Oryzias latipes: one gene and its partner. The protein of the gene in region 1 binds, or shares a complex with, the protein of each later gene. Links are inferred from orthologs where the notes say so. Each region holds a gene or a part of one and is shown on either strand. Other genes may lie near its edges.

Region 1 (4,567 bases):
ATTAAAATACTCTTAAAAAACATTTTTTTTCGTTGTTTTTTAATGCATCTTTTGTGTGAAACAACTAGGTGTTTTATGAAATAAACTGATCAAATAAACATATTGTTCAATTTAATTTTGAGATTTATGAAATTAAACGGATTAAGGTTATAAAAATATAAACCCAAGGCATGTTTTTTTATGTTTAATCGTTTTTTTAAGCAGTAACTTTAGTTATTTCCCTGCAGAAACAACCAAACAGATGTGCACTACTCCAGGAAGACATGAGACAGCTTGAATTTTCAAATAAAGAAAGAAAAGAAAAAAAGTGCAATACTTTTTTATTGGACTACAGGATTCTTCATAGGGGCTGCCAGCCGCGGCCAAAACTAATAAAAACAAACCCAATTTTGAGTCTCCAGTCAGCATCAGACAGTAAACATTTGCCTTGGAATCGGAAATCGGCTCTGAGCTCATTCGTTTATCTTCAGACTCACGAGCGCATCTCCGCTTGTTCACGCAGATGCTTTCACTCTGATCCTAAACGCTCTGAGCTGAAGCAGAAGAAGCTCCATGACAACAGGTGACTCATCCGCTAGACTAGAGCCCAACCGCATCTCTCTGAGATCACAGGCAACATGCAGATGCTTGGAATGGTTTTCAAGATTTCATGAAGACTTTCTTAATCATTTGAAATTGAAAGTAAAGAGAAAAAAAAAACAATAAAAAATCTCTAAAGCTGAAACTGTTTGCAGAACATTCTGAAGAACTACTTTCTGTTTTTAAGTCAGAAAATAAATGGTTTGTGATTTAAAAGGAGCAAGCTAGTATTTATTAATATTCAGTAATAGAAATGTTGTGTGCTTAATTTAGATTATTGAACCATGCTAACAGTTTGTATGCAACAACAAACACCGAAAAGACCACAGGAAAAGGCAGTTTTCTGTAGTTTCATGACCTAACAGTCGCATGAAAGTACAGAATAAACAAACAGAATTCTGATCCAAATATTAGAAAGAAAATGGATAAAAAAGAAACTTAAGTTAAAAACCCAATGGATCAAAATCATAAAAAAATTAATCACGACTGCTTAGTATCAATATTTAGGACATGGTATTACCTTTGCACCTCATTGATAGGACCTTTAAATAATAAGTCTCCCCGGCCTTAACATCATTTATTCTATTCTAAAAATACATAATATAATATATTATATTTTATTCTATTAAGCAGCAACAATGTAATTAATTGAAAGATAAATGAAACATATAAATTCCTGATTAAAAACATTTTTCTTTTTTTCAAAACAAACAAAATAAAAAATACAAACGAGAAGCTTTAAGCTCACCTCTCCGATGGTAAAGTTGAGCTGTCTGGCTCTGACGATCATCTCCATCTGAAAGACGTAGCCTTTGGAGACGCACCGCTCCACCAGACTCTCCAGAGCACTTTTCTTGTACAACCTGACGTGAGCGACACGTGTCACACACGTCACGCAGCCACAGATCCACTCACCGGTATTTCATTTACCTGAAACTGCCTGTGAGGTCTGACGCCCCCGGCCTTAACAGCACCTGAGTCAGAAAGTTGGCCCCTCGACTGATTCCAGGAGATGATGAAGTGACGGAACGTAAAGCGTCAGTCTTTCAACAAACCAACAGAAAGATGCGGGGGACTCCAACGGCTCTTACCTGATGAGTTTCCTGCGCAGGTCCCAGCCGTACACCCCCCCGTCACCTCGGTAACGAGTGCCAGACACAACATCATAATTTCCCTCTTTCTGCTTTCTAAGAGAAAAAAAATATTCAAACGTGAGGCTATGTGTCTCATTGTGTAGCTAAAAAACAACCAGAGACACTTACTGAATAAATTCAGGAATGAACTTGGGCTGAAATGAAAAAAAGAAAAAAGGCAGAAACAATAAGACCATCCCTCCGAAATCAGATTTCAGATAAACAAACAACAACAAACTAAGTGAAACAGAAAAACCACCATGATTAACTGAATGGTGTAAAGAGACGACAAAAAGCCTTAAGTTCCCAACCCAAATAAAGTGATCTCGGCTTACATGATGAGAGAGATCGGCATCCATGATGATGATGAAGTTCCCGGTTGCATGCTTCATCCCATGGATGTAGGCAGTACCTGTTGAAGGAAAAGAAAAGCTATTCACAAAGAAGTCCAGAAATAAACATGTCCACTTTTAAGGGAATAACACTTACCGAGTCCTAATTTCTTTTCTCTTGGGCGTAGAAGCTAAAACACACAACATTGGACATTTAAATAAAGAGGAAACAGCATCAACGTTCTTATTTTCTTCTATTAATCGTTAGCATAAAAGAAAACCTTAACTTACTATTTTGTCTCCTCCATAAATTTTCTGCAATTGCTCTGCCACCTCCAGTGTCCCATCTGGGCTTCCGTCGTCGATGACAATTATCTCATAGTTAAAGCCACTGCAAAAGAAAAAACAAACAAAAGAACCGTTTAACGAGATCGCTAGCGGAGTGGAAAACTTTCTCTATATTTAATGAAGCACTTTTGGCCGCAACCACTGAGAGCTTAGAGGCTGCGGACACTTGTTGACTCTCCAGAGAAGTGACAGCTCATCATAGCCAGGAGTTAACTAACTGCGGCTAACGCTAACCAAACCGAGCAGCTATATTCTGGCTGTTCCAGTGACCTACCTTTCCCCCAAATATTTCACCAAAAGCCAAACTATTAAAGGCAGGTTTTCCCTCTCGTTGTAGGTAGGAAGAAGAATTGAGTATTTGTCCTCGGTGTCCCGCTTCGGTTGTGTAGTTTTACGGCTTGCCATGGCGACGCGACACACTGGTAACCGCAACAGCAAAAGACAGAAACTTTACTTCCGGAATTGACCTTTCAAAATAAGGTTTTAAACCGTATGGTGTATTTTCAATTTTTTTTAAATTGACTTATTCCTTCTGACAAAGGTTTTGTGAGAAAATTATTTGAAATATTGTGAATTTGGACAACCCCCAAATAACACATTTTTAATCAGTATTTTTTATTAAAGATGTTTTGACCAAGCCACCCAATGGATTTAAACTTACGACAGACACCAAATACATAAATAGTTTGTTTCCTTTCATAGTCTGACAACTCTTGTGCCTTTTCACTTGCCAACTGACTAAAGTTTTAAAAGGGTTTTGGACAATAAATTATCAAACAATAAAGCACCAATATGAGAGACTTGTGCCAATTTATAAAGCTTTCAGTAAAAAGACAAATAAAAGTCTTAGCATATTTCTATCTGGAAATATAAATTATTTAAACGTATTTCTATGAGCAGATATAAATTATTTGTTCGCATTTTTTACGTCTATATCTATTGATTAAGTTAACCTTTTTTGTTACTTTCGTAGTGTGGGATGTATATTTTTATTTAAAAAATGATCTCGAGTAACCTGCAAAAAACCTTAGAAATATTTTGGAACTTTTAAAAATACTTTTGGAGTAGCAGTTACGTATGCAGCCACGCGATACAGTACACTTTTGAACTCAGTGTAAACCTTTACTTTGAAAATCTGTTTCAGAAAACGGAAGTCAAATATTAACTTTCGTGTGGGTTGTCCTCTTCAAAATAAACCCCACTGGAAACTACGGTTTACCAAATTAAGTTCCTCTTCTGTTTTGTGAACGCAAATCTTTTCCTAGAAGTTAAAAAAGAAAATAAAACTGTATTAAGTTTTATTATAACTATTCTAATAATAACACTAAATTGATAAGACGAAAATTGGGAAACTTTATTAAAGAAAACAACATAAAATTCCATCTTCCTCCCTTCCTAAAAACGTTTACATAACAATACATTCTAAACTCGTGTTTACAATGCTAATGGCCCATGACCTACAAAAATATGAAAATACCATAAACTAAGATAAATTAGCAGTTAGAATTTCTACTGTAAAAAATATACACAAATAAAGATGCAGCAAATAAAATATACAAACTATCTTACATTAGATAACCTCACAGTATCATGTCATAGAATAATAAACGTGTTTGAGGCAGTTCAGGATAAACCAAAACACACAGAGAAGAAAAGCACAACAGTTAGATGTGATACAATGCACTAAAACAATGAAAAAGAAACAAAAGGCTTCAGTGCTTCAGACAGTGTTCTTGACTGGTTTCCTTTAGGAAGATTTTTGTCTTTTCATTTTATAAATATCAATCATATTTCAGCAGTTTTGTTTGCAGAAATTGTAGTAGTGATTCCTTTCATGTCTCCACATGCTGTTCTGAATGCCCACATCAGTCATTCTCTTTGGGGGCGTCTTTTCAAGGTGGAGCTCCTTCATCCCCTCTGTACTCTCAGATCATGGCTGGTAGCCATAATAAGAGTCATCTGTAGAAAATCAAACAATCAATAGTTAATTACATAGACAAATATGATTAGGTTTTATTCAGAGACAAATTAAAGATATTAAATGAACAATTTTACAAACTTCCTGAAGGTGAAGGTTTTAATAGTAAAGCTACGTTCACACTGCCCTGCGCAATGCTGGTTTAACAGCCACTTCAAAATAAAGGTCTATGTAAACTATTGTAAACCAGCATTTCA
Region 2 (3,296 bases), on another chromosome or scaffold:
TATCAAGTGGTGTAGCCTTCCAACAAGCTCACTCCTGATTGGAGAGAGTGGTTACCATAGAAACGATGACTTAGACTGACATGAACCAATCGCTGCTTGCTGACGACGTCTGGCTCCAACATGGCGGTGTCCATATAACGAAAAAATGGCAACAGAATTGACTTAATTTAGTTTTGGGTTTGAATGGAGGAACCTGTTGGTGATCCATCCATCCATCCATAAATTTTTTTTTTTTTTTTTTTTTTTTTCATCCATCCATAAATACATCCACCCATAATCAGTTCTTGTATAAGAAATTCTGGTGACTGATCAGATCTTCAAGCTGTATTTATTGTATCTATTTGTGTTTTTTGGTGGCAGTTTGAAAAATGTCAAAGAAGAAGCAGATGAGTGAAAAAAACATGTAAATACTATGTATTAAAACACAACTGATAATTTCAGCAGATGTTGTTTTAAAGGCTTCATCACAAATAGGAGCACCCCCCCCGCCGTGTCACCGTCTCCTTTGACAGAAGCAAAAGGCTCCAGCGCCGCTTCCACCATAATTCCCAGTATCAGCAGCAGTGCACTCAAACCTAAACACCCCTGTCCTAAGAATAGCTCCCCATTTGTCCAGAAGAATGATGTTTATTTCTCTTTGTGTTTTGTTTGCATGAAGGATCTTTCCATCTCCTCCCTTTTCTCATGCCGGTCCAGAGAGATGCAAAGCGTCTGCACCTGCTGAGTTAGCAGCCTAACTGAACCCGCGCTGCACAACGCTGATGGAGTTATGGGAATTAAACACACATGAACCTGGCCTGGCCTCTGCTTAAACTGTTGGTGCATTCTTTGCTTAGGAAAAAACAACATTAGCATTCATGGTAGCTTTTAGTGGTGCTAATGATGTGTAATTTTCCAAATGGCTTTAATTTAGGACGATGAGGATGAAAAAGAGTTCAGGACTAATGTGGGGTGAAAGCTTGACAGGAAGCATCATTAAAGACTCGGTGGAAACAAATGATATTCTTGCTCACAGCTAAGTGAGAACTGCTGCTGTGAACAGACGCAACGCGTGAAAAACAACAGAGATGTTAATAGGTAAATGAACACATTTGAGGGTTTAACCAGAGAGCCCAACAAGAATTTCTTTATTTCGGGGAGCAGCCATTAAAATTACATAAAAATGTTAAACATTAAGAATAAAGAAAAAATAGAAAGGAAAATATAAAATAATTTTAAAAAGTTACATTTTTAAATAAAAAAATAGAAATGTATGATATTGTTACCGTTTTTTAAATTGAAAAACTTATCAAAAACGTTACTAAATGTGTCCCCATGAGTTCTCTGGGAGCCAAAAATATGATGGATGTTTGTTTACGAAAAGACAAATAACGGATAAGAATTGAAATCAACTAATGTTATATTTGTTAAAAAACGAAAAAAGGGCTTACATAAACATTGAACTGTAGAAAAGAAATCATTTATTATACTGCTAGGACAAACAGTAAATATAAAACAGATTTAAATAATATGTTGTAAGACTCTTTATATTTTCACATAAATACATATAATGTTAATAAATATTCCTATAATTTTTTTCGTATAAAGTGGGTTTTTTGTAAAAAAAAAAACATGTAAAAGTTCGTTTTTTCCCTTGACGAATAGTAAACGCTGTGCTGAGAGCTGAGAAAAACGATTTGAACTGCGTTTCCCACAATGCTTCAGGGATCTTACGTCATTAATCCGCGCAGAGCTGAGCTGGCGTTAAGGAAGGTAAACACGGCGGTTTCCTCTGCTTAAAACGCGATTTTAACGCCTTAAATTGCCTCTTCTAATCTTGTTTTCGTGTTTTTTTCGCGGCTGTGTTCATGCTAGGCTGTTTGGTGGCCTTTAAACACGATAAAGTCGCGGGTTTCCCTCCCGCAGGTGGTCGGAAGGCGCCGCGGCGGGACTCCTCACTCTGTCACTCACTACCATGACCAAACTGATGCAGTGGCTGTTCGGGGCGTCGCTGCTGGGGGGCCTGTGGGCCCTGGTCAGCTTCGACCTGCTGGACTTGAACCTCCCGCACACGTACCGGGAGGTGGCCTGGCCCATGCCCCTCTACCTGCTGGTGTCGTTCGGCTGCTTCTCTCTGGCCACCGTGGGATACCGGGTCGCCACCTTCAACGACTGTGACGCAGCAGCGAAGGAGCTGCAGGAGCAGATCAGGGAGGCGAGGGAGGACCTGAGGAGGAGGGGGCTGAAGATGTAGGACCTGATCAAGACCGCAGTGCTCCCGGTTCCGGTGCCGGGTGGAGGGTCCGGGCGGCCATGATGAAGGCTGTTTAGTCACGTGATTGAACTCCATGCCAGATTAACATCTGGATTATTTTTTACAACTGGAAGGGTTTCTGTCGATTGAACATTGATGGTGATGTTCCTTAGTTATTTTTTTTTCTTTTTAGCTCTTCATAAAACAGCCAAAATGCTGTTCTCTTTCTTTTCTAATCCTTAACCAGAAATGCCTCCAAAGGTCAGGCTGTGGATAATCCATCACACATCAGCGTCTTCTTCACTCTGCATTAACAGATCACTGTGTCTCAGTGCATTTGTTGCAGCAGAAGACCTGATGTCAGGAGGTTTTTCTTGAAAATTAAAGGAGGATCTATTTTGTAAATGTCATCTGTTGTTTGTGTGATGAACAGGCGTTCCTGATACTAGTGGACATCCCTACAGTGTAGAAGCCTGGTGTGAAATGTCGTAGCGGTGTAAATCTGGTGAATCTCTTTCTCTCTCAGCTCCATTCCGATATACGAAAGCCTTGGCGTCGCAGAACTCCAGTCAGGCACAAACTGCAATTATTCATTTGACCTCCGTGATCAATTGTCAAACAGTTGGTCTAAGAAAAACTATATATAACTGCGTTTCCCACAATGCTTCAGGGCTCCCACGTCATTAATCCACACAGTGCTATCAAACGGTTGGTTTTGGAAAGGACGCCATCCAAACCCGAGTCCCTGATGGATCAAAGTTCAACTGGTTTAACTTTGAATCTGTGCTCAGTAGACGTACATTTAGCCTGAAGACTGACTAAAAAACGTGCGTAGTTACGCGTGAAATCAAAAGTTTGAACGCTGAAGCCAGAAATGTGCATTTGTGCGCGTTTACATCGACTTTTCATTGGAAACTGTGTAGTTCTGGTGCGAACGCATCACGACAGTCAGGATGTGCTCAAGGAGCGCAGACTCATGTGAACATTAACGAGCTCGTTAACGAGGTTGAAAAACGTGCAAAAATCTGCGTGACACGCCTGCGTCTCAAATACGCCCCCCTAA

What was found.
Region 2: dpm1 (region 1) and dpm3 share a complex: the UniProt entries of both Homo sapiens proteins name them as parts of the dolichol-phosphate mannose (DPM) synthase complex. The link is inferred for Oryzias latipes from reciprocal best matches to the Homo sapiens genes DPM1 and DPM3.

What each region holds. Positions count from the first base shown.
Region 1 is NC_019865.2:4,536,889-4,541,455, forward strand, and holds the start of dpm1 (dolichol-phosphate mannosyltransferase subunit 1), read right to left. Parts: upstream 2,840-4,567; 5' UTR 2,798-2,839; coding exon 2,667-2,797; intron 2,436-2,666; coding exon 2,336-2,435; intron 2,236-2,335; coding exon 2,202-2,235; intron 2,125-2,201; coding exon 2,048-2,124; intron 1,868-2,047; coding exon 1,842-1,867; intron 1,767-1,841; coding exon 1,671-1,766; intron 1,579-1,670; coding exon 1,510-1,578; intron 1,443-1,509; coding exon 1,328-1,442; intron 1-1,327. Other genes in the region: col20a1 (collagen alpha-1(XX) chain), read right to left, coding at 4,323-4,351. UniProt on the Homo sapiens protein: Transfers mannose from GDP-mannose to dolichol monophosphate to form dolichol phosphate mannose (Dol-P-Man) which is the mannosyl donor in pathways leading to N-glycosylation, glycosyl phosphatidylinositol membrane anchoring, and O-mannosylation of proteins; catalytic subunit of the dolichol-phosphate mannose (DPM) synthase complex.
Region 2 is NC_019869.2:1,108,816-1,112,111, reverse strand, and holds dpm3 (dolichol-phosphate mannosyltransferase subunit 3), read left to right. Parts: upstream 1-1,663; 5' UTR 1,664-1,752; intron 1,753-1,854; exon of another isoform or gene 1,855-1,905; 5' UTR 1,906-1,954; coding exon 1,955-2,233; 3' UTR 2,234-2,643; downstream 2,644-3,296. UniProt on the Homo sapiens protein: Stabilizer subunit of the dolichol-phosphate mannose (DPM) synthase complex; tethers catalytic subunit DPM1 to the endoplasmic reticulum.